7 linked regions of the Rattus norvegicus genome follow. The protein of the gene in region 7 interacts with the protein of the main gene of each other region in a biochemical or structural test. Links are inferred from orthologs where the notes say so. Each region holds a gene or a part of one and is shown on either strand. Other genes may lie near its edges. The genes, in order: Rig1, Usp10, Trafd1, Psmc5, Ergic2, Hip1 and Ubc.

Region 1 (4,098 bases), on a different chromosome or scaffold from region 7:
ACAACTCTTACAAAGAGTTAGATGGGAGGGACTCAAAGGCTCGAGTATGGAGAGATGAAGACTGTGCGGGCAGAAGGGAATACTGATTCCTCTGGTGAGATCCCTGCATGCATGGATCAGTGCACTGCACACCGGAAGCGAGGACAACTGTGTGTTCTGAAAGACAGCCTCGCTAAGTAGACCAGGGTGGCTTCAGCCTGTCTGTGATTCCTCTGTGTGTCCCTGCCTCCCCAGTTCAGGGCCTACAGGCGTGTGCCACCACTCTCCAAAGAAATAGGTTGTTTTTTTAAATTTTTGTTTATTTTTCAAATGCAGGCATAGAGAACGAAGGCTATGCTAGGTACAGTGTTATGCCCTTGATTGGTTCCAGGAACCTAAGGATTAGGCATAAAAATCTGTAATCGATTTCTTAGTTTTAACGAATGTTTAACCGTGTGTAAACTGGAACGGGGTTAGAGACATTCACAAATCTTCTGAGGCGACTTTACTGTCTGTCGAAGATTAGACCAGAGAAAACGTTAAGGCTGTGATTTCGAAGCGAACATGGTGTAGTGTCAACCTGCCAGCAAGTTAGTGGTAAAGTGGGAAAATAACCGGAAGATGAAATTATAAAGATGCTTTCCTTACGGCTGCGCACAACGTGAGCAACGGAGTCGTTGTCATGACCAGTGTGGGTCCATCTTTGTCAAAAGGGGGGGAAGGCTAAATATATGAAAGTGATAATTCTGCTAGTGAAATTCTCTCTTCCTATTTTGTTTTCTATATTTCCTTATTGAGACAGACAATGCTTTTATAATGAAAACAATACACCTCATTTGAAAAAGAATGTTAACACTTGCAGGTTAGCCTTCGACCTTTCCCCCTTAAAACTTTCTTTTTTTTTTTTTTTTTTTTTTTTGAGACAGGATCTCTCTCTATAGCACTGGGTATCTTGAAACTCACTCTGTAGAGATCCCCTTGTCTCTGCCTCCCAAGTGCTGGGACTTAAAGGCATGTACCATTACACACGGTCCCCTCAAAACTTTTAACTAAAGGTTGGCAAAACAACAACAACAACAACAACAACAACAAAAAAAAAACCCTCCAGAGACTAATCTTGCTGTCGGCATTCTTGCCACCAGCGGAGGGTGGCGGATGGCTGACTAGCTAGGGGATGGTTATATTACTTAGTATGAGGGACATCCTCTTTCCGAGTTGATTCTTTAGACGTTAAAGGTCCTTTCAGCTCCAATTTCAAAGGCTTCTTGTTCACAGTGGTCCCTTTAGACCACTTCCCGGGAGGACTGGACACTGGGTCTGCATTGGGGTCTGTGGCCAGTATGAGCCTCTTCTCACACATACCCTGTGACCCTTGGGTGGTCAACCCTGTGCTCTGGGTCTGGCCTTTCTGGCCTCTGTTGAACTTGCACTTTGTTTGTGATCTTCTGAGTTGGAAAGCTGGGCTTCCTCCTGTTTTAGGTGCAAGAGGCCCAGTAAATGGATCCTAATTGGCCCACAGGAGATTCTGGCCATAGTCTTTTCTTCCAACTGTAAAATTAGTGAGATCACATTCATTCTTCACCCTTAAGCGGCGTTTAAGGCATCTTCGGACTGTTGCTAAAACTATGTTTCCTCTCTTCCTCCTAGAAATCCCACTACACTGTGCTTGGAGATGCTTTTAAGGAGCGCTTTGTGTGTAAGCCACACCCTAAACCAAAGATCTATGATAGTTTTGAGAAGAAAGCAAAAATATTCTGTGCCAAACAGAACTGCAGCCATGACTGGGGGATTTTTGTGAGATACAAGACGTTTGAGATTCCAGTCATAAAAATCGAAAGCTTCGTTGTTGAAGATATTGAGAGTGGAGTTCAGAACCGGCACTCAAAGTGGAAGGACTTTCATTTTGAAAGAAAACAGTTCAATCCCGAAGAAATGTCCACATGATCTTGGGCTTCTCAGTCTCACGCTATAGGGAGCCATGCCTTAAGTGTGGAAGTGACCAGCCAATGCGTTCTTACCCAAGCTTGCACAATCCTTTCTTACACAACCTTGCACTGTGTTGAGTGCCAGGTAACCTGACCTGTTTGCTCTAAGCTGTTTCTGTCCACACAAAGTGCAAACTGAAGCTCCGAATGCTTTGTTCACCAATAACTCTTAGCACTCGGCGATGGTGGGGAGGGTTGAAAGTTTTCCCTTTTACATTTTTCAGAACTGCCCACCAGAGAATGCACAGCTACTCGGTACATCGAGACGCGTGATGACTGGCGCTAGGTTTCCCATACTCTCTCTTTGCTCTACCTGCCGTAAGCTGCCTTTCGCCCTTAACAATCCACTGACTTAGTTCTTTTCCAGGCCACCACACTCACAGATCCAGCCGTACTCTACTCTGTCCCTTGCGTTGACTCCTTTCTGAATTTGGCCCTGCCACCCTGCCACCCTCTGCAGATTCTCCTGGTTTCCGTCCCTTCCCAGTCTTTCCCACTGATTTCTTTGCTGACACAAATTTGGTGATTTCAAGGTTCAATATGCACAACATGTGTTTTAAAAAGACATACTTTTAAGATGTGAAAGACTTTAGTTAATAGCTTACTACGCTTACTGAGAAGGTATTTCTGTTCTGTTCATTTACTATACATCTTACTGTAATCTGTTCTTTGAATTTGGGCCATTTACCCTCCTTGAATAGACTCTTAGACCATCTCATCTGTTATGTCTGTCCTCCCACCTGTTTGAGACAGGATCTCTCTATAGACCAGAAACATGATATGTGGACCATGCTGGCCTTAAACTCACAGATTCCCCCCACCTCATAAGTGCTGAAATTAACATTTTTCACCAGGCCTGGCTCTGGCTATTTTCAATAAAGGCTGATATTAACAATTGAATATTTCCAGTTCATCCCCTAACATGGCTTGTTGTTGTTCTTTTTGAGACACTGTTCCTACGTGTAGCCCTGGGTCTGTAGACCAGGCTGCCCTTGATCACAGAGGGCTGTCAGCTCCTGCCTCCTGGGCGCTGAGACTGAAGGCCTGCATCACCATGCCTGGCTTTCTTCTTAAGCCTTATGTATTCAAACGGCAATTCCATGTGTCTTCACAGAGTTTGTTAATGCTTCAAAGAGCTTAGTTTCTTCAGATCAAGAGACAGGTGTCTGAAGGGCTGTTACTGCTAACAGACCAAGGCGCTCCAGTTCAGGGAAGGAATCGTACTGGTTTTGAAGGCCGTAAAGTGGTTTTAACACTTTCCTAAAACTTACAATTCACTAGGGCCATCAATGGCCTAAACAAAACTGCAGAGATTACATGGCCACATAGCCCTTTTTACATGGCATTTACATCTGAAGACTATCCCAAGACCACCCAGAGCAGAGGGGTCACCCAAACTACCCAGATCAACCCTGGAGGTCAACAGAATGACCACTTCCCACATATGCCTAGAGAAAATAACCGGCAACTAACTTTTTTGGGGAAAAAAACCTATAGGGATTAGGCTTTTAATTGATAGGTGGAAAAGATGATACATAGTAGTTCTTGATAATGGTTATTGATAAACTTCTTAGTAAGTGCAATAAAATGGACTAGATGAATTTGCTGGGAGCTGACTTTCATTTATGTCTTTTAGTACATGATGCCTTTGCAGCTTAACAGTTGTTTAGCATGTGTAAGGTATCTTCTAGAAATTACTTGAGAAAAAACTTTTAAACATTACAATGATTTAATTAAAATGTATATATTTTATGCATATGGGTTTTTGGTCTGCATGCACATATGCACACTAGAAGAGGGCATTGGGTTCCCTCTGACTATAGTTATAGATGGTTTTATGCTGCCATGTGGGTGCTAAGAATTGAACTTCCGACCTCTGCAAGAGCAGCCGCTGTTCTTACCGCTGAGCCTCCTCCCCGGCCCTGACAATGATAATTTAGTTGAAGTGAAATAGTCCTTTTTTCGTCAGTGGGGAAAAGCAGACTAAAGATGAGAACAAATGACAATTTGAGTTGTACATGGACTTAAGCCACTGCGCAGTGTGCCCTGGAATGGAGCAACCCTGGGTTAGTAAGAACTGAACGAGTAGAACGGTCGGTTTCGAGAGGTGGGCGAATGCTTGTCTTCGGACTTC
Region 2 (3,500 bases), on a different chromosome or scaffold from region 7:
TTTGTTTCTGAGGAAAGCTGACTCAGCAGATCCTCTTCTTTTCAGAGCACTCTGTTTCTAATGGGCCCGGAAGCCACTTGATAGAGGATGAGGAGCTGGAAGACACAGGCGAGGGCAGTGAGGACGAGTGGGAGCAAGTGGGTCCCAAGAACAAGACGTCTGTCACCCGGCAGGCGGATTTCGTTCAGACGCCTATCACTGGCATTTTCGGTGGACACATCAGGTTTGTGCTTTTCCATGTTCTCAAGGTGTGTGTGTGTGTGTGTGTGTGTGTGTGTGTGTGTGTGTGTGTGTGTGTGAGAGAGAGAGAGAGAGTGTGAGTGTCTGTATCCTTCCTCCTGCCATCTGCTTTGCCTGGCTTTCATTCGCTCTTCCTCAGGCCTGGCTCTCAGGGGCTGTGTGCCTCAGTGCCCCCAAGGGTGCTGGCCCATCACTTGAAGTCAGGAAGCCAAACTGACTTGATTGTTCTGGTAACAGAGACTCCTGTCCGACTGGAGGCATTGTATCACTGTACTTTTTATTAAGTGCATGTGTTAAAGTCTATAGAAGGATGTTATGCACACAGGTAGTGGAGTGTTGGCCATGGAAAACTGGTCAGCACAGAAACCCCGCTTCCATGGTGCCCCTCTCCCTGTCAGATGAAAGCAGCCGTGCTCTGCCCCTCCCCCCACCTCCGTATACCCGCGTACCCCGAGGGCTGATGCTTTGTGCCCTGTGTCCTGGACCTCCTGTTTTCTTCCCCCACATCACTGTGGTGACTTTGCTTTTAAATCTATAGCAGCGTGAGCACACATGGCTGTCCTGTGTCCAGCTCTGTTCATTTAGTATGATGTCTTCCAAGTCCATCCCTGTTCTGACGAATGTTAGGATCTCCTCTTCCAAGACTGAGTAATATTCCGTTACATATTCCCACCTAAGTGGCTTTATCCATGTGCTTTTTGATGGACACATAGACTGTTTATCTAGGAAATAACTGAATGGGTGAGACGGAATAGAGGCCAGAGCCTCATGAGCTAGAATGTGACAGGATCGGAGGGAGACACTGGCCCAGGAGGACATGTGACCTGGGGTCCTTCAGACAGCTTTCTGCTCGTTCATGACATCCTTCTGAAAGACTTTAGAGTTACTTCAGAAGCCCCGAGTTATCGTCTAAAGATGAGTCAGTGGGCTTCAATGGGTGCGATCTCCTGGATGCTGTATTGGAAACCAGTCTCTTCTCAGGCATCCAGTGCCAAATGAGTGAGTCCACTCAGTAGCAGACTGAGCTCCTTTCAGCAGAGTCTGCACTCCCTGCCTCAGAAGCTTCTCTTTGCTTCTGTGGCCCCCATGGGGAGGGCTGAGGACCCAGCTGAGCCACGCTGACATGGCACAGGCCCCCTTTTCCTCTGGTGTTCTTCATGGGGCTAATGGATCTGGTATGGTCTAGGAATCCCTGCCTACACGTCGCCACTGTGACTCATCTTGGCAGACACAGCCCCCCTGAGTCGAGCCACGGTGGAGGAATAAATAGGCAGGTCGGTGAGCAACAGAGGAACGAAGCTACCCTCTGCTGCTCTTGCCATCCAGCCCCGAGTTAGGAGTCAGGGCAGTGAGGGACAGCAGACTACAGGCTGCCACAGCACACTGCACTAAGGGGCAACATGGGCTGTTTCCCTAAGGGTGACAGCAGAGAAGAAGCCAGGCTGCCCTTCTCACCTCAGCCTCTGTGCTGGCCCTGGCTTCAGTAGCTTCCGTGAGGTTTTTCTGGTCAACTTCATGGTTTTTTCAAAGAACAAAAGCAGAGATAAGAAATTATTATTTTCATTTTATTCAGGGTCTCATGTATGCCAGACTGTCCTTACACTCAACGGTAGGTGTGGCCACAGCCAAGGATGATTTTGAGAATTTTAGTCATCCTTGCTCTCCCACCTCCCAAGTGCTGGGATTACAGGGGCATGCAGCCTACCCTAGCTTATGAGGTGCTGAGGTTAGAACCCAGCATCATGGGCACCAGCAAGCACGGTCCATCCCAGCAGCACCCTGGGCCTAGGCAAGGAGTTCTTTCCAGTTTTGTTTTGTTTATCTAAGGCAAGGTCTCTACTGCCCGTGTTGGCCTAAACTCATGGCAGTCCTCCTGCTTCAGCCTTCTGAGCACCCAGCTAATGAGGACTTCGGATGACCTGATGACTTGAACTGCATTTCAGACAGAATTAGAGTCTTCATTCTGACCAGGGACGGCCCCAAGTCACTGTCTTTCTGCAGTTTTTAGTTTCCCTAGAGAGACCCTTTTTTGGGGGGAGGGGGTGGTCCTTTTCTGATGAATGAAAGGTTTTGGAGTCAAGAGGGTCTTGATTTCTGCACTTACTTTTTTTTTTTTTTTTTTTTAAGATGGTTCCTCTGTGTAGCTCTGGTTGTCCTGGAACTCACTCTGTAGACAAGGCTGACCTTGAACTCAGAGATCTGTCCGCCTCTACTGCCCCAGGGCTGGGATCGGAGGAGTGCGCCACCCCACCCTGCTTTAATTTCATTGATGCTGTTCAACTTCCTTTTGGGAACCCTAGGAGTGTCAGTCATTGCCTGGCACTCTGGAGGAAGGCTGGGGCATTGGACTCTGAAAGGGTCTCGGCTGGGTGCCTATCTGTCCCTTTAAGTTGGAGTTTCCTCCCACAGCTCTGCTTTGCTCATAAACTAGGACTCAGGCTGCTTTGTTGAGTCTCAGAACGTTCCCTGGATGAGGTTAAGTGAGAGATGAGACATACTTATGGTTTTTATTCAGAACTGAGGAAAAGAAAGATGAATTAAAAAAAGTAAGAAAACAAGGTTGAGTGCCTTAGCTGCGAGGCTGCTCACCTCTCTTCCCGGATCGCTAACGTGGTTTTTATCCTTAGCTTGTTACCCTTCCTCCTCCTGATGTTTTTATAGCAGGAGAGCAGCCTTAAAAGTCCTGCTCCCCTGGGGATCCCCCCACGTCCCCATTTCACTAGAACAGGCTGTGACACTTAGTTAAACACTCCCCATCCCACTCTGCTTGAGTTTGTTAGCTGGTGCGTGCTGTGCTCTGCTGTGCAAGTGAAGAGTTTGGAAGTCGAAGCCCCTCAGCCAAGCCGGGAGAATGTGCAGATCAATTGCTAATCACAGGGTCTGGTAGTCAGCGGAGTTATTTTTAAATTCAGGGTGGTTTTGGCTGTTCTGTTGTCCCTGGTCCTGTGATACTGAGTAAACGTACTTGAGTATTGATTCCTTCTCTGTCAGTTAATCTTAAGGGAAAATGACAGACAGTGGCCTCTTACTCTTCTGTGTTTTCCGTTGCATTTTTAGGTCTGTGGTTTACCAGCAGAGTTCCAAAGAATCTGCCACGCTGCAGCCATTTTTCACACTGCAGTTGGACATCCAGTCCGACAAGATTCGCACAGTCCAGGATGCCTTGGAAAGCTTGGTGGCAAGAGAGTCTGTCCAGGGCTACACCACCAAGACCAAGCAGGAGGTATGCTCCCGCACAGCTGACCAGGAGCCTTCTAGAT
Region 3 (2,209 bases), about 3.9 Mb from region 7:
TGTAGCCAGACGACAGGTCTCCTGGGAAGAGAAGGCGGCAATGGCTTTAGGGGGAAGGCTACCCTAGCTGTTACTAGCAGACTGTTGTGGCAGAGAGCCCACTCCACATGCTGATGTCCTGATCCTCAAGGACAGGTTCCTAACTGTTCAGCAAACAGATGTCAGCCAACTATGAAAAGCTGTTTGCAGTTGACTTTGTGGTGGGAAGTTTCAGAAACACGCACCCAGCTAGATGACTAAATAAAGCAGTCAGGAACCACAGCTTACCACAGCACTGTGATTCACAGCTGTCTTGGAAGCCATGAGCCTATAAGATCTGCACTTGGGTCAGCCTGGGGTAATGTGGGGACCACTTAGCCTCAGCAGAGCTCCCAAGAGACCCTCATGCATGGGAACTAGAGGCCTAGGCAAGCCTCCGGGAGAGCAGGAATGGGAAGCAGGCCTGAGCCAGCAGTGGCTGCAGCTTCGCTCAGCCCCAGCTGATACCCTGGTGTTTGACCCGCCTCCTGGACAGCTCTGGTGAACGGTCTTCAGGCTGAGAATCCTGTGTAGGGATGCCCTCCATTGCTCGGTGGTTTGCTGTGGCTGGGCGCTGGTCACATTGATCCTTTAAAAAAGAAAAGAAAACACTGAGTACTCTGGATGCTGGGAAGGGAAGAGCATCAGCAGGCTGGGAGACACTGACAGCCACTACAACTCCTGGAAATCAGAGGAAGCCAAGTTCTGGGAATAGAATGGACAGCCATCATGGACTCCTGAGACTCTCCTGTGGTCAGAAGAGCATGCTCTGTCTGCAGTGTTTGTGTGGTGGCTTAGGTGACAAGCAGCAGTTTGTCCTTGAGGTGGGAGGAGCTACCGAGAGCCATGCAAGGCTGCGCCTGCCCTGCCGGCTCCTCACACAGCTGACCACTGTGGGTGGGGAGCACTTTCCCCACTAACAACACAGGAGTCCAGACTGGGAAGACTGGGAAAGGCCTTTAGAGTGTGCAGTGTAGCACCCTTCCTTCCAGGAGCCTCAGGGCATCACCACATGGCAAAGCCAGAGCTGGAGCCCGTGTTAAGGAACACAGCACTCACATAGCCCAGCAGAGCCTGCCAGTCAAAATCAGGAAGCCTCCATACTCGGGGAGACGCTCCCTCAGCCCCTGCTCGAGCATACTCGATACCGTGAGCTCAGCAGGCTCTCACCTGATGGTGGAACAGCACCTCCTCTTCCAGCTGCACCCCACAGAACTCACAGGGGATGATAATGCTGTCTTCCACAGCAGCTGAACTGCTCAGGCCCATTAAAGTGTCTAACTGGTTACTTGTTGCTTGTTGTAGAAAGTTCTGGAAGATGGCACCAGGATCTTCCACCCCCCTAATGGAAGAGCTGCCAGTATTGAGTGAACGTAAGGCATGTGAAGGGTTGCAGCTTGTCTGTCATTCAAAAGATAATGTTAAAAAAATAAAAAAAAAGGTTAAGAAAAAATTCTATCAATAAACATTTTCACCAAGAAACTACTTCACCCCCTGAGTGCTGCAGAGCTGGAAAGAACAGAGTTCATCTCCACTCTACTGCTCCCTACTGCACCCGTGCCATCACCACACACGGGGCCCAAACCATAAACAAAGGCCAAACAGTCTTTTATCCTTACTAAAGGACCATTTAAAGTATTCAACCCAAAGCAGGGTGTGACCTGTCACCCAAAGCACAGACTACATAGCACCTGAGCTGTGCTGAGCGAGGCCTCATCACTTAGTCAAGTGGAAAGAGGTCCATGGCTCCCTGAAAACGAGACACAGTGCTGTGCTGTGTGCCCACAATCCCAGTTGCTTGGGACACGGAGGTAGAAAGGTCACTTGAGCCTGAGTACTACAGCATAAAGGAAAAGCGGTTACACCGCACCACCAGCGCTGCACTCGCTAAGGCCTCTTGCAGCTTGTCACACCGCCCAGAGCCTGCTCACGGTCCTGAAGAGTAACACACACCTACCTGATGGTCAATGAGCAGTTCCTCCGGGTACAGCTCCTCACAGAACTCACAGGGCAGGAGAGTCTCGTCAGCAGCACCTGGAGCCCCAAACAAACAAGTGCCGGTCAGCCCTTCCCCCAGAGTGCCTGACACACAAGTCTGACTGGGGCAGGGGTGGGTGCTGGATGCCAAGGACACAGTATAAATTCCAAAACTGATACAAGTAGAGGTTTCACACGAAAAGAAAATCCTCTG
Region 4 (4,102 bases), on a different chromosome or scaffold from region 7:
ATACCTTTCATCCCTTGGCAATGTGATTTCCCAGCCTCTTAAGGGGCACTTGTTAAGTGTCTTGGCCAAATTGTCTATGCACACATTCAAGAAGCAAGCTGCTGGGCGTAGCAACACAGGGCTGCATTACCAGCTATCAAGGCCAAACGTTCAAGGCCAGCCTGGGCAATTTCTGAGAGTCCCTGTCTCAATGAAAAGAAAGCAGATTGGAGATATAACTCGGTGGTGGAGCGACTGCCTAGCATGAGTAAGTCCTTAGGTTCAGTCCCACGAGAGGGGAAAAAAGAATGACACTGACTTCCAAAATTTAGGAGAGACACATGCTATGGAATATTTAATCTGAATTGTATAATCGGATTTCCATCCTCCCCCAAAGCAACTCAAAGCCAGCCAGTGCAAGGGACGTATCATCACAAGCAGTCCCTGCCAACCAAATATTACCATCCTCCAGGTGCAGCACACAGGTCCAGCAAGGCCCGGGCTTTCTGAAGGAACTGAAAGCGGCGATTGAGCTGGATCAGTTTGAAGGCAGAACGCGAACGATAACCTAGACCGTAGGGAGTGGATGTATAAAACAATAACGTCTACGGATGCCTTTTCTAAGAGGACTTCCACAGCCTCACAACCCCATCACCCTCCCCCTAAGGAAAAGGAACACAATATTAGAAAAAGCGTAAAGGCTGATATGTTATTCACGCAGCGCAAACCCACTCACCGGTCTCCTTGGCCAAGTGATAGAACTTGTCCCGCCGGCTCTTGCCTACTTTGCCTTTCTTGCCCATGGCGGGATGGGGTAGTATCACTCACTCTGGGGAGAAAGAAAAAGTTGAGAATATCTTTCAGAGCGCTGGATTTTTGCTTCGGTTCCTCGGGTGGCGAAGCAATCACTTACCGAGACGTTAGATAGCCCTTAACTCCGCAGGTTTTCAACACTTAGGGAAGTAGCACATGTGGGTAGTGATCGTACTTCCGCTTCCGCTCGCGCTCCCTGTGTTCCTAGCGTCTTGATTTACGCCATTTTGAGTGTGGCCAAAAATTTTGTCAGCGTGTCTTGCAAGTTAAAAGTAGAGGCTAGGAAGTAGAGTACAATAACTACTCCCTAGACTCTAGGAAGCATCCGCCATAAGTTATATATCTCTTTACAAACCTACTAACCGCCAGTAGAGCCTGTAATAAAGCCACTGTTATTGTCTCACCACACACCCCGCCCATTGACCCGGAACTGTTCTCGGTCGTGACCCAGGTCGCACGCTTTCGGCTCCGCGCCTGCGCAATAGGGTGACTTGGATGCCGGCGGTCCCTGCCGAAGGAGGGAAGATGGCGCTTGATGGGCCAGAGCAGGTAAGGATTCTGCCGCGGCGTCAGGGCGGCATCCAAGCCGAGTGTGGAGTGCACAAAATCTGAACTGAGGGGTGGCCACTAGCAAAAGGGTCGAGTGGATCAGGGGTGGGTGGACCACGTCAGACTTGACCCTGCCTGGAACTGGATCTGCTGTGTCAGCGCCACCCGCGGTAAGCAGGACAGGGCTGGGTAAAAACTGAATGAAGAGCTAGGCAAGCCGGAATGGCCTGGGTGGGACCTGGACTTGGTCCTTCTGTTCTGCCTTTGTCTGTAGTAGTTACACCTTGGGTTTGTATAGCTCTTGCCACAGAGCAAAGCGCTCTGTAAGTATATGGCCCCTTGAGCCTCCTAAAAGTCTTCGAAGGTAGGCGGTAATTGCATCCTTTTAGTGGATTCAAAAGTGAAGGATTAGAACCAATAACTAAGCCTTTGCAGTTCAAACACACAGACCTCACCTATGGAGATAACCAGTTTCTGAGGAAAAGGGAATGATACTTTCCTGGCCTTGTTTCTTAAGCTATATGGTAAAGTGCCCTGAAAATACTTTGGCTTTATCCCTTAGTAGTTTACGTAACTGTTTAACAATTACACTTGTCTTCAGATGGAACTGGAAGAGGGGAAGGCAGGCAGTGGACTCCGTCAATATTATCTGTCCAAGATTGAAGAACTCCAGGTAAGTCCAGACACCAGAGGGAGCTTGAGAGCTAGCTGGTAGGTGCAGATTTCTCAACGTCCTTTTTCCACTGGGAGTGCAGCAAAGTGTTCTTTTCCAGTGTCGTTCTTGTAGCTCTTCAGTTGTTAATTTATTATGCATATGTGTATATGTGTGCTTTCGTAAGCTTATATGCATCATATGTATGCAGGTGCCTGCGCAGGGCAGAAGAGGGCAGTGGATCCCCTGAAACTTGAGTTACAGATAGTTATCTTTCCCAGGCACTTAGAGTGACAACTAAACCCAGGCCCTCTGCAAAAGCAGTAAACCCTGTTAACTGGTGAGCCGCCTCTCCAGCCCCTCCTCTGTGGTTAGGAAGTAACAAGCAGTGTAACGTATATTGGTAATCTCTTGGATGGGAATGGTATTTAGTTAGGATTTCTGTTTGCTCGCTCGCTCGCTTTTTCAGGCTTTTCATTTTATGTTGTGTTTGGGTGTTTTGCTTGCATCTATGTCTGTGCCAGAAGATGGTGTAGGAGCCCTGGAAACGGAGTCACGGAAGGTTGTGAGCTGCCGTGTGGGTGCTGGGAATCCAGCCCAGGTTCTCCCGGAGCAGCTGGGACTCTCAACCACTTTTAACCATGCTTTAATGCTTCTGCTTTGGTCTTTAGTGCTTCACCTTTCTCGGGTCTGAAATAAGGCGGAAGGATGGATGTTGTTGTCTGTCTTTTATTGTCTTGCCTTTGTCTTACTTTTGTTTATTTAATAGATTCTCATTGTGTAGCCCAGATGGGCTGGGATTCTCCAGCTCTCAGCCTCCTTAGGGTAGAAATTACAAGCCTGTGTCGTCGTGCCTACCTTTTAAAACTAACTGTTTTTTCTAATTTTATGTTTTGAAATCCTTATCACCACCACCCCTTCTATGGGTGTTCCTAAATACACAGACACGACCTGTTCAGTCTGTATAATGTTACCTGCATGTATGTGCTCACTGGGTACTGCATAACCACCCCTTCTATGGGTGTTCCTAAATACACAGACATGACCTGTTCAGTCTGTATAATGTTACCTGCATGTATGTGCTCACTGGGTACTGCATAACCAAACGGGGCGCTTCTTCCTTGTCTTCCTCTCAGCTTTCCTCAGGAGCCATAATTCTTTGTCTGGGGTTGAGGCCCCATGAGTGAACTTCTCCCTTCCATGTTAGCGTGTCCATTGGTGTCACCAGTGTTCAGGACTTGTCTAATTTAAGAATCCATGTCGATGAGACTTCATGAGTGTAGCATTTCTGACTCTTTTTTTTTTTTTTAAGATTTACTTATTTTATATATGTGAGTACACTGTAGCTGTCTTCAGACACACCAGCAGAGGGCACCAGATCCCATTACAGATGGTTGTGAGCCACCATGTGGGTGCTGGGAATTGAACTCGGGACCTCTGGAAGAGCAGTCGGTGCTCTTAACCGCTGAGCCATCTCTTCAGCCCAATCTCTGACATTTCTAAGAAACAGTCTCCCAGCAAACCTTGTTTATCTGGCTCTTAGGATCTTTCTGCCCCCTCTTCCAAAATGACCTCTGAGCCCTGGGTTTAGGAGTTGCACTGTAGATGTCAGTTGGGACCAGCAATGCAGTCTCTTGACTTCTACGTTTTGGTCAGTTGTGGTTGTCTGTAATTGTCTCCATTTGTTGCCAAGAGAAGTTTCAAGAGAAGGGACTAGAACCGCATTTATCTGTAATAGACTGCAGTTACAGATTATGCAGACTTAGTAAAGTGGGCCTCCTTGTGCTTACCACAGGCTGTGTTCCTACACTGACTGTATGGAAACAGAGTAAACCTACCCTGTGTACTCCTCAGCCTAGGCCACCGTGCCTGGTCTGTATTGTGAATGGGGAAAAAAAGGTTTAGTAAAGTGATTGTAGGCTCTTCACAATCCATAACGTAACGAGCCCGGCATAGTTGACTATGTGTCTAGTACCGGGCTTTGTTTTCCTCCCTTTAAGCAGGCTGCAGTCCAGTTAGAGAACTGTTGGGTGCCACCATGGTAATTGTGGGTCATAAGCATCACAGCTGAGTAGAACTATCAGTTGGTTCCTCCTTGGAAGCTTGTGT
Region 5 (3,500 bases), on a different chromosome or scaffold from region 7:
ATTAAACCTAGCAATATAAATGCCAATCACCTCTTTCATGGAAGAACTATGGCAGACAGAACTTAACTAGCTCTCACTCCACTCTGGGTCCTATGAAACTCAAAAAGACTTTCACACAGCAAACATTTACCATTGCTCAACCTAGAACAGAACAGGATGTGTCAGCAGCCTTTCCTAACTCCCTCCAGTTTCAAATTCACTTACACATAAGAATTTTTATGGAGAACAATGCACAACAGGATGGCACGGAAGCCACTCTGCACTGCTCTGCTCACTGACACTTTAATAAGCCCTGCTGGAGGCACGGGCACTGCCAGATGCTAGAGTTAACACAGATCACAGAGGGCAGCAAATGGGCACAGGACGAGCAGTTACAAAGACCCAGTGGTGAGGTCTTCCTCCTGGCCAGTGCCCACATGCTGGTGATCAGTGAATCAGAGTCGGAACTGAGCTCACCTGTTCCCCCACTGGCTGATGTCTCCACATAGCTGTCAGGAACCTTGGGAAAGGCATCTAACTCTTTCACCAAACTTAAGGTTTTTCTCCGATTCAGTCGCCTCATCTTCAGAAAAACCTTCCTTTTCCTTCATATAGTCATGCTAAAAAACAGATAAATATATAGCCAATTTTCTCAGAAATTAGCAATGCACATTTTACTCTTTTCTCCATTCCTACTGACAAAATTAATGAAAGGCAATATGAAAACGCACATTAAAGTGGGAAACTGTCCATTTTAGTTAAAGAATTACAATTAGGTTGAAATATTTATTTATACGTATATACGTGTGTCGGGGCAGGAGCTACAAGGCGAAACAAGCTGAGGTGAGTTCTCAGATACTTATTCTAAATCAGCAACACAGGTGTCCCTCAGTGTCCACAGGGAATCGACTGCACAGACAGTAGGGACACACATGGCACTCCAGACTTCTCCTTAGATGGCACACCTGCTAACAATCCAGCACTTCTGCTCACACACTAAGATCATCTCTAGGTCACTTACAGATCTAAGCAGAAACCTGACTGACCTTTCAATCATTCAGTCTCTATTCGCTATACATGACGGGATTTATGTGTGTTATGTATACGGGGGCATCTGCTCATGCGTGTACAGCTGCATATGTGCATGTGGAGGGCAGACATCAATGCTAAGCATTCTCTTCAATCTCTCCACTTTATGTTTTGAGACATGGTCTCCTATGAACCTGGACCTGATCAATTCCTACAGCCTGGGGCCTGGATAACCAACGAGCCCTAGGCATCCTCTTATCTCTATCTCCCCACTGTTAGGGTTGTCAGGTATGCCAGCACACAGAGCTTTAAACATGGGCACTACGGATCCCAACTCCAGCCTTCAAGCTTGTGCAGCAAGCACCAGGTTGAGCCATCACCATAGGCTCTTATTCACCACTAAAAATATTCATGCGTTTCAAAGAAAAGCACTGCTGCGCCCCAAACTCACACCTAGCTCACAATTTAAAGGAATGTGATGTCTCTATCTATTGAGTTTAAATTTTATTCCTCTCTCATGTTCTGACTAAACTGGCTTTGGGGGCTGTTATCTTTGGAGGTACTAAGTCCAAGAAACACTTCATATTGTAGCCTTATTTAGAACATATTTACATTTATATTCATACTCTCACCCTGACCCCGTGTGTGTGGGGGCGGAGGGGTAGAAGGGTGGGAGGGAGGGAGGGAGGGGAGAGAGAGATCTCCTTTCTCATGAAGCAGCCTCTTTCCTTGAAACTCAGTGAGCACCCCAATCTCAAAACCAAAAGCTGACAAGCCAAACCACTTCAAAACCCAGGCTTTTGAAATCAGACTTGATGCTCATTTTTCCAAGGGATTCCCTCATTTTTCATTCATATTTTGGATTCCTTCGAATCTTCATTTCAGTTCCAATCCTTCAGAAAACTACCGCCTTGCCTTCTACTATATATTTTTCTTTCCTAGTGGTCCACCACTGAAATACTCAACACCGGCCTTCTACTTTCCTGTCTATTTTCCCTTGACCATCCTAACATGGCTTACAGAATCCTTCACAAACCAAGGCCATCAAATCAAATATCTTGCAGTCTAAGTTCCAGCAACACTGAAAACCTATCAATGTTCATTCTTTCCTCTCTGCCAGAATTAGTCCTTGTCCTCTCCCTCAGCTTTCCTAAGGACTGATCCCATTTACTCTTCTGTGCCTCATATGACTAGAACGGTTTCTACCCAGGGACTGCACATTCCATTTTCTCCACAGGACAGTCAAAGAAAGCTTCATGTCTAACTTCACCTTTGCAGTGCCAGTGCCTGTAAGTATTAAGGGAAGGAAGAAAAACACACAAAGTAGCACAGACTGCAAATCTAAATAGTGTCAAATCTGGGTAAATGAATACTTAAAAACACTATCCATAGGAAGAATTTCTCACTGTTCAATATAGAATCACCAGCTTTTAAACAATGGCTGTATTATAACTACTGAAAAGATGAATAGGGGATTCTACTTCCAAAACTTAAGTGTATTTTCATAATACACTTAATTAGTAGTTCCTTTTAACATACATATGAAAGTATGGCAAGCATCTGTTAAGTTTCACCAACCTCCCAAACACACACAATCACGCATTTCCTCCCTCATCTGGCTACTACTCTGTCTCAAGCTTCTGCCATGATTCTTTTCCGGGACTGTCATTTTAGAAGGAAACAGGCTGTCACTCTACAGCTTCTATCCCATCCCAGCAACCTCACAACTTACAACTTCTTCCAAGAAAGCCATTCAACCTCTAACACTTGTCACAGTATAAAGCCACTGTTATGACATGAACATGCTACCCAACTGATTAAAAATTAAAATTAACCTGCTTTTTATGAAATCCTCATGTTGTAATTCCCATTCAATACTTCATTCCTAAGACTCTCAAGGTAAGAAAGTCAGGTCATGTTTCTCTCCCTACCTCTTCTCTTTAGCGCCTGCCTCCCCTAAACAATCGACAGCTAACTCAGTAAAACTCAATGTCCTTTACATAGGAGCTTGATTCTTCAATGACAACACTTTTATTCCTTCTTATAAATGAACAATCAAACATTTTTCCCAGGAAGGTGCAAGTGGTCCTATGGAGAGCAGAGATTTAGTCCCAAGCAGTCTGGCAAAGTCTGATCCAAATCCCAGTGCTCCTGTCTCCAGGACTTGTTGCCAGCCTCTCTGCACTGAGATGCATCTACAGCTCCCTATGGCCTCTGCACCTGGATCAATCAGCAATCATCTTATTTTTCTCATCCCACCATCATCTGATATCTCCAAAGGCACCATGCCCACGTGTGGTGTGTGTGTATGCACTACCCAGGCAAACCACCTATGTGTATACAGTAGAGAACACTGCTTTAGATATACTTACTTAGTAAAACTAACACTATATCTATGTCCATCTTCAAACCCAGCTTTCCTGGCATTACTCTTGTATCCATGACCACACTGTTTCACAAAAGGGGGTCTCTGCATGATGCTTCTGTTTACT
Region 6 (3,500 bases), about 10 Mb from region 7:
AAAAAAGAAAAGAAAAATTTAAATAAATAAGGTAAATTGCACCTGTGGAAAGACATCTGTGTTGGCCCTGCGGCTTCCACAGGCTCTCTCTCTCTCTCTCTCTCCCTCTCTCTCTCTCTCTCTCTCTCTCTCTCTCTCTCACACACACACACACACACATAGCTATTGCACATCCACAAATAAATACAAAAAGGAGTGAGTAGTTCTGGAAGTTTGAAGAGACCCAGGGTCTCCCAGGACAAGATGGGGGGCAGGTTAAGCAGGGGGCCCTCCGCCTGGCCAGGGACTTAGGCTTGGCCATGATGCTTTCTGCTCTCTGTAACTTCATCCTTCTTGTCTCATCTGGGTTCTCAGGGATGCTGCTGACCTTGTGGTCCAAGGCAAAGGGAAGTTCGAGGAGCTGATGGTGTGCTCGCATGAGATTGCCGCTAGCACAGCCCAGCTTGTGGCTGCATCCAAGGTAGGGCCAGCTGGTGCTGGACTTGAGCCGGGAAACTGAGCTGAGGGACAGGTGATATTCCACAGCTCTGCTTGGAGCTGTCCTGAGTAAAAAGTTCTCCCTCTCAGGGCTTTCACAGCACCCTCTTTTAAAAACCTAATGTGTGCCTATAGTGTATAGGCTGCTATAGTCTAAGTCCCTAGAAAAGGTTCTTGAGAAAAGGGACTGGTAAAGAAAAAAAAAGGAGAGTAGAATGGTGGTGGGGCACACATTTAATCCCTGTACTCAGAGATAGAGGCAGAAGACTCTGAGTTCAAGCCCAGCTTAATCCACAGACTGAGTTCCAGGGCAGCTAGGGCTACACAGAGAAACAGTTGAAAAGCCAACTAAACAAAACAGCCTGATATGTGCCAGCAGGGAGCCCCTCCCCCAGCTCATCACATGCATGGCTTGCTGCTCTCATCACTCTTGTCAGTAGATTTCGAGGGTCCCAGGCTTATCAGCTTCCAAGTACCATTCAGGTGGACCAGGTGACATGGACCAGTCATCCCAGCTACTTCGGAAGATGAGGCAGGAGAATTAAAAGTTAAAGGCTAGCCTGGGCTTGAAATGAATTTAAGGCCAATCTGAGCAATCTCACAAGACTTTGGCTCAGAATAAAAATTTTAAACAGGGGCCAGTGAGATGGCTCAGTCAGGAAAAGGGACTTGCTACCAAACCTGATGATCTGAGATTGATCACTGGGACCTACATGGAGAATGAAAGGACTCCAGTTGTTCTCTGACTTCCACATGCACAGCTGCACATAAGCACCACATAAATAATAAAAAGTAATTTAAAATAAAAAGTAATTTAAAAATGCCTGAGGGGACAGTTTAGTGTCAAAGTACTTGCCTTGGGTCTGCTGGTAAGAGGCAGTGGTAGAGCCCCTGCCTAGAATCCCCCAGTGAGGGGCTGGGGGCAAGGCTCAGTGGTAGAGCCCCTGCCTAGAATCCCCCAGTGAGGGGCTGGGGGTGTGGCTCAGTGGTAGAGCCCCTGCCTAGAATCCCCCAGTGAGGGGCTGGGGGCGTGGCTCAGTGGTAGAGCCCCTGCCTAGCAAGTACATGGCTTTGGGTCCCATTCCTGGTATCCAAAATTAAACCAGCATCTATTCACTAGGCATGGTGGTACATGTACTTAATCTCAACACTCAAGAAGAAGAGACAGGCAGATTTCTGTGAGTTCAAATACATCTAGGGCTGCGTGGTTAGACCCTGTTTCAAGAAAAAGGTATCTGGGGGCTGGAGAGATGGCTCAGCAGTTAAGAGCCCTGGTTGCTCTTCCAGAGGACCTGGGTTCAATTCCCAGCACCCACATGGCAGCTTACAACTGTCTTTAACTCCTGGTCTAGGGGATCCTGCACCTCACAAGGACATACATGCAGTCAAACCACCAATGTACATAAAAATAAAAGTAAATAAATATGTTTTATTCTTTTTTTTTTTTTTTTTTTCGGAGCTGGGGACCGAACCCAGGGCCTTGCGCTTCCTAGGTAAGCGCTCTACCACTGAGCTAAATCCCCAGCCCCAATAAATACGTTTTAAAAAGAAAAACAAGGGCTGGAGAGATGACTCAGCGGTTAAGAGCACTGACTGCTTTTCCAGAGGTCCTGAGTTCAATTCCCAGCAACCACATGGTGGCTCACAACCATCTGTAAAGAGATCCGATACCCTCTTCTGGTGTGTCTGAAGACAGCTACAGTGTGCTTATATATAATAAATAAATAAATCTTTAAAAAAAAAAAAGAAAGAAAAAGAAAAACAAAAGGGTATCTATTAGTCCGGCATGTTGGCCCACCCCTTTGATCTCAGCAGTCAGGACACAATGGTGTGTGAACCTCTGTGGGTTTGAGGTCAGTCTGGTCTATAAAGCAAGTTCCAGTCCTGCCAAAGCTGCTACATAGTGAGACCCTGTCCCAAAAAACAAAGTATCCGGTGATGGAACTGCTTAGCCATCTATCAGTCACCTGACTTAGCCCCTGGAATCCATATAACCAATGTCTGCTCCTCCTTTGTCTCTGAACTGAAGCACCAAAGCATTTAATGCTCCTGGGAAGACATTGGTGGGCTCTTTCACCATTGGACCAGAACTTCACCCAGGAATAGTCTTTATTCCTCCCTTATTACTTAGGATCCCAAGGCCTTTGTCTCACACATGGACGAGTTCATGCAGATAACTATGCACGCTAGAGCATAGGGTAACCCAACCTGTATTCCAGGGGTCCTTTTTACTCGAGGTAGGTCCCGGGCCGGTACCATGGGCAACACTGGATTTGAGAGCTGACAACAGATGGTGTTTGCTAAGCACCGTCGGGCCAGCCTTTTGGCCCCGTCTTGCTGCGCCTGATGTCTAGTGAACGTAAATGCCCTTTGTCCTGGCAGGTGAAAGCGAACAAGGGCAGCCTCAATCTGACCCAGCTGCAGCAGGCCTCTCGGGGAGTGAACCAGGCCACGGCCGCTGTGGTGGCCTCAACCATTTCCGGCAAATCTCAAATTGAGGAAACAGGTAGCCTTTCGCACTCTGCATCTCTGATCCATGATCTCAATTAGTTCTGTATTTTTAATTGTTTGTTTGTTGTTTGTTTGTTTTGTTTTTAATGTGTGGTGTGTGCGTGTAAGCATACATGACTTTACTAATGTGTACAGGTCTCTTCTACTTTGATTCTCTCTACACACACACACATACACGTGTGTGTGTGTGTGTGTGTGTGTGTGTGTGTGTGTGTGTGTGTGTGTGTTTGTTTGTTTAAGACAGAACCTCATGGGCTGGAGAGATGATGGCTCAAAGGTTTAGAGACCTGATTGTTCTTCCAGGGGATCTGAGTTCAATTCCCAGTACCCACATGGTGGCTCACAACGATCTGTAATGGGATCTGATGCCCTCTTCTGGTGTGTCTAAGGAGCAATGGTGTACTCATATACATAAAATAAATAATTCTTTAAAAAAAGAAAAAAAAAGATAGGACCTCACTATGTATCCCAGGCTGGCCTTGAACTGAGAGATCTGCTTGCCTCTGCCTTCT
Region 7 (4,213 bases):
GAGACCCTGTCTCAAAAAAAAATCTCAAAAAAGAAAAAGGTTGAGATTAAAGGCATTTAATAGTGTGTGTGTCTGTGTGTGTGCATGCTACATGTATGTGAGTGCCCCTAGGGACATTGGACCTCCTTGAAGCCTTGAGAAGCTTTGGAGTCAAAGGCCTTTGTAAGCTAGCTGCCTGACAGGGTTGCTCAGTATTGAACTCTGGAAGAAGACCTGCTCTTACTGCTGAGCCATCTCTCTACCCTAGGGATTCAATTCTTACCTTCTAAGGTCTCAGGCCTTACATTTCAAAAACCTGAATAGGCTGAATTTTACAAGTGGGGTATATGTTTGCTGTAATCTGAACATTGTACTAAACGTGTACTTTTTGTGTGTGTGTGTGGGTTTTTGTTTGGTTTTGGTTTTTTTCAAGACGAGGTTTCACTGTGTAGCCCTGTAGACCAGCACTTAGAGGCAGAGGCAGAAGGATCTCTGTAAACTTGAGACCAGCCCGGTCTACGAAGCCTATTCCAGGACAGCCAGGGCTATACAGAGAAACCCTGTCTGAACAACAAAAATTAAAAAAATAGGATTTCGATGGGTTCAGTCTCAGAATATGAACAACATTTTGATATTTTGACCTTTCCTTAGTGACAATCGAACAGAAAACAGAACCTTCTCGAATCCAAGGACACCAGACATAAACAGACTTAGGAAGAATCTGGAAAGATCTAGTGCCCACTGGGCTTCAGATCTAATGCCAACAGTTTTCAAGAACTGTGAGGACTGACTGCTTTTCTTGACGAATTCAGATTCGTTTTCCCAAACTGGGGAGAGATCCCCCCCCCCCCCATTTTTTTTATAAAAAATAAAAAAAACCGTTGTCATTTCCCTTGTTATGAGATTTGCACAGTCATCCATCCTGTCACCGTGCCAAAACAAAGAGGGCTGGGCACAGTGACGACCGACTCGAGGTGAGGGAACTTAGGAGCCGAGGCCACCAATGGAATATCAGTGTAACAAGAGCCAAAGCCCTAGGTCCCCCTAACAGAAAGAGGCGACTGGGACCCTTGACGGAGGGGGTGGGGGGTAGTTGGTGGGTCTCCGGCTCGCTTAGCCACAGTGCGCCTGCGCCGAGGTCCGCTCCGGCTGCAGTGATCCCTGCCGGGTTTTAGCGCCGATCACGTCACAGGCGCTGATCCCTCCGCGGGGTCGCGCAAGGTCGCAGTCCTGCCCCTCCACACAAAGCCCCTCACTCTCTGGCCTTCGCAGTGGAACAACCCCATGAAGCGATCTTAATGGTTTTAGCCTGTCGCTTCCATTGCAGAGATTGGACCGGGCATTAAAAAGTAGTCCCCAACCGCATTTCCGCGGAGGAATCCAGGGGTGGGCGGGGCTCCCGATGACTATATAAAGAGACGCCTCGCGTCCCGCAGCTAGTTCCGTGGAGACCGCCAGTTCCGTCTCTACTCTTTTGTGAGGACTGCAGCCAACACCGCTGGTGAGGAGAAAGCCGCCACACCCGGCGGGGGCGGGGAGGCGGGAGGGGGCGAGAGACAGCCCGCGGCCCGGACGTTTGGTTTCCGTGGCCCGCGAGGACGGCTGCTGTCCTGAGGCCGAGGACCGGGCGGCAAGATGGCGGCCAAATGGAAGCCTGAGGGGGAAGACGCGCGGTCCTGACGCGCTGGACCAGGTTGGGGGAAGCAGGCCCGCGAGGCCGCTTGCCGCCGGTTAAGCCGGGAACGTCAGAGGCTTGGGTTGGGAACTGAATTCGGTTGGCGCGCTGTAGGAGCCTCTGATGTGAGAACTGTGGGTATTAGACGGGAGGGAGATGTCGGTTATCCGGAATTCGTCGGTTGCTAAATACAGGAGTGCGATTGGGAAGGGAGGGGGAGGGTGGCGGTCCAGCCTAGCCTATCGCCCCTGTGACGTCGCGGTTTGTGTGGTCTCACAGTGTATAGTGACGATGGCTTTAGCTTTCCCTCAGTTGTAGGACCGGGTTTGGGTCTCGGCCTCGGGTAGCCTCTCCAGAGTAAACAGGAACCGGAAATTCAGAGGGGGAACGTGAGCCTGACTTACATTGAGTCTTTCCTTGTCTCGCTACACGGATATGGCTGCGGAAACTATTTATTAGACAAGGGTGTTTTTTTTTTTAAGATTTATTTCTTCAGGGGTTGGGGATTTAGCTCAGTGGTAGAGCGCTTGCCTAGGAAGCGCAAGGCCCTGGGTTCGGTCCCCAGCTCCGGAAAAAAAGAACCAAAAAAAAAAAAGATTTATTTCTTCAGACACACCAGAAGAGGTGTGATCAGATCTCATTACAAATGGTTGTTAGCCACCATATGGTTGCCGGGAATTGAACTCGGGACCTCTGGAAGAGCAGTCAGTGCTATTAATCACTGAGTCATCTTACCAGCCTGACAAGGGTTTTAAACTTTAAAAAAATCTCTGCCTCTACCACCCATGTGATGAGGTCCAAGGCCAGTGCCACTTACCCCAGACTACTTTTTTTTTTAATAGAGTTTATTCAGGGCATGGGAAGGGGAGTTGAGGAGGGAGTAAAGCTGGTCGGAACATGTGGAGAGAGAGCAGGGAGGAGAATGGGGAGAGAAGGGACAGATGGGGTGAAAGTAAGAGGTTAAGAGGATAAGAGTAAGAGTAAACTACTGTTTAATTGTTCAGACAAAAGCTTGGGGGAAGGAGAGTTGAGGCAGGATCTCACTGTCTCAGGCTGACCTCCCAATTCACGAAATCTGCCCACCTCAGTGTCCCCAGTGCTGGGAGGAAAGATATGAACATAGTTCAGTTTTGTAGTAGTAACTGGCTCTATCTACCAGTCGGGACCTGAATCCGGGATTTCCAACTATTGCCTTCTAAGCTCTTGAGTTTCTGACTTCTTTGGAGTGGGTCCTCCTAAACCCCCCTCCCCCAAGGTGAAATGTGGGTCAGGCTTTTCTCCAAACTGCAAATAGTCAGGGACTGACTTTCAGCAGTTCCGTACTGAACGCTCCACCCTGCCAACTTGGTAATAGACAATGCCTAATATTCATAACTTTGTTCCATCAAGACTTTTATTTTCTTGTTGGTTTTAGGGGGTAAAATTCAAAACAGTCTGTGTAGCTATTTAGACTAAACTACTAGCCACCTCACAGATCCAACGGTTGGTGGCACTCTAAAGAATTTGTGTCATTCCTGACCTGTTTTTTGGTTTTTTGTTTTTTGTTTTTTTTTCCATAGACAATGCAGATCTTTGTGAAAACCTTAACTGGTAAGACCATCACCCTGGAGGTCGAGCCCAGTGACACCATTGAAAATGTCAAGGCAAAGATCCAGGACAAGGAGGGCATCCCCCCTGACCAGCAGAGGCTGATCTTTGCAGGCAAGCAGCTGGAAGATGGCCGCACCCTGTCAGACTACAACATCCAGAAGGAGTCCACCTTGCACCTGGTCCTTCGCCTCAGAGGGGGCATGCAGATCTTTGTGAAGACCCTGACAGGCAAGACCATCACCCTGGAGGTCGAGCCCAGTGACACCATTGAAAATGTCAAGGCAAAGATCCAGGACAAGGAGGGCATCCCCCCTGACCAGCAGAGGCTGATCTTTGCAGGCAAGCAGCTGGAAGATGGCCGCACCCTGTCAGACTACAACATCCAGAAGGAGTCCACCCTGCACCTGGTCCTTCGCCTCAGAGGGGGCATGCAGATCTTTGTGAAGACCCTGACAGGCAAGACCATCACCCTGGAGGTCGAGCCCAGTGACACCATTGAAAATGTCAAGGCAAAGATCCAGGACAAGGAGGGCATCCCCCCTGACCAGCAGAGGCTGATCTTTGCAGGCAAGCAGCTGGAAGATGGCCGCACCCTGTCAGATTACAACATCCAGAAGGAGTCCACCCTGCACCTGGTCCTTCGCCTCAGAGGGGGCATGCAGATCTTTGTGAAGACCCTGACAGGCAAGACCATCACCCTGGAGGTCGAGCCCAGTGACACCATTGAAAATGTCAAGGCAAAGATCCAGGACAAGGAGGGCATCCCCCCTGACCAGCAGAGGCTGATCTTTGCAGGCAAGCAGCTGGAAGATGGCCGCACCCTGTCAGACTACAACATCCAGAAGGAGTCCACCTTGCACCTGGTCCTTCGCCTCAGAGGGGGCATGCAGATCTTTGTGAAGACCCTGACAGGCAAGACCATCACCCTGGAGGTCGAGCCCAGTGACACCATTGAAAATGTCAAGGCAA

What was found.
Region 1: the proteins of Ubc (region 7) and Rig1 form a complex in vitro, tested with the Homo sapiens proteins (3 studies listed by BioGRID). The link is inferred for Rattus norvegicus from reciprocal best matches to the Homo sapiens genes UBC and RIGI.
Region 2: of the proteins of Ubc (region 7) and Usp10, one has a biochemical effect on the other in vitro, tested with the Homo sapiens proteins (4 studies listed by BioGRID, with this or other methods). The link is inferred for Rattus norvegicus from reciprocal best matches to the Homo sapiens genes UBC and USP10.
Region 3: the proteins of Ubc (region 7) and Trafd1 form a complex in vitro, tested with the Homo sapiens proteins (2 studies listed by BioGRID). The link is inferred for Rattus norvegicus from reciprocal best matches to the Homo sapiens genes UBC and TRAFD1.
Region 4: the proteins of Ubc (region 7) and Psmc5 form a complex in vitro, tested with the Homo sapiens proteins (2 studies listed by BioGRID). The link is inferred for Rattus norvegicus from reciprocal best matches to the Homo sapiens genes UBC and PSMC5.
Region 5: the proteins of Ubc (region 7) and Ergic2 form a complex in vitro, tested with the Homo sapiens proteins (2 studies listed by BioGRID). The link is inferred for Rattus norvegicus from reciprocal best matches to the Homo sapiens genes UBC and ERGIC2.
Region 6: the proteins of Ubc (region 7) and Hip1 form a complex in vitro, tested with the Homo sapiens proteins (3 studies listed by BioGRID). The link is inferred for Rattus norvegicus from reciprocal best matches to the Homo sapiens genes UBC and HIP1.

Annotation. Positions count from the first base shown.
Region 1 is NC_086023.1:60,116,898-60,120,995, reverse strand, and holds the end of Rig1 (antiviral innate immune response receptor RIG-I), read left to right. Parts: intron 1-1,626; coding exon 1,627-1,923; 3' UTR 1,924-3,598; downstream 3,599-4,098.
Region 2 is NC_086037.1:64,916,297-64,919,796, forward strand, and holds part of Usp10 (ubiquitin carboxyl-terminal hydrolase 10), read left to right. Parts: intron 1-45; coding exon 46-223; intron 224-3,297; coding exon 3,298-3,463; intron 3,464-3,500. UniProt on the Homo sapiens protein: Hydrolase that can remove conjugated ubiquitin from target proteins such as p53/TP53, RPS2/us5, RPS3/us3, RPS10/eS10, BECN1, SNX3 and CFTR.
Region 3 is NC_086030.1:40,836,251-40,838,459, reverse strand, and holds part of Trafd1 (TRAF-type zinc finger domain-containing protein 1), read right to left. Parts: intron 2,053-2,209; coding exon 1,976-2,052; intron 1,420-1,975; coding exon 1,189-1,419; intron 608-1,188; coding exon 487-607; intron 22-486; coding exon 1-21. UniProt on the Homo sapiens protein: Negative feedback regulator that controls excessive innate immune responses. Regulates both Toll-like receptor 4 (TLR4) and DDX58/RIG1-like helicases (RLH) pathways.
Region 4 is NC_086028.1:91,686,251-91,690,352, forward strand, and holds the start of Psmc5 (26S proteasome regulatory subunit 8), read left to right. Parts: upstream 1-1,302; 5' UTR 1,303-1,317; coding exon 1,318-1,341; intron 1,342-1,942; coding exon 1,943-2,014; intron 2,015-3,766; exon of another isoform or gene 3,767-3,892; intron 3,893-4,102. Other genes in the region: pre-rRNA 2'-O-ribose RNA methyltransferase FTSJ3, read right to left, coding at 442-547, 716-782.
Region 5 is NC_086022.1:182,847,991-182,851,490, forward strand, and holds part of Ergic2 (endoplasmic reticulum-Golgi intermediate compartment protein 2), read right to left. Parts: intron 600-3,500; 5' UTR 563-599; coding exon 457-562; intron 1-456. UniProt on the Homo sapiens protein: Possible role in transport between endoplasmic reticulum and Golgi.
Region 6 is NC_086030.1:26,891,947-26,895,446, forward strand, and holds part of Hip1 (huntingtin-interacting protein 1), read left to right. Parts: intron 1-354; coding exon 355-460; intron 461-2,859; coding exon 2,860-2,983; intron 2,984-3,500. UniProt on the Homo sapiens protein: Plays a role in clathrin-mediated endocytosis and trafficking. Involved in regulating AMPA receptor trafficking in the central nervous system in an NMDA-dependent manner. Regulates presynaptic nerve terminal activity.
Region 7 is NC_086030.1:36,899,087-36,903,299, forward strand, and holds the start of Ubc (polyubiquitin-C), read left to right. Parts: upstream 1-1,413; 5' UTR 1,414-1,480; exon of another isoform or gene 1,481-2,043; intron 2,044-3,213; 5' UTR 3,214-3,216; coding exon 3,217-4,213.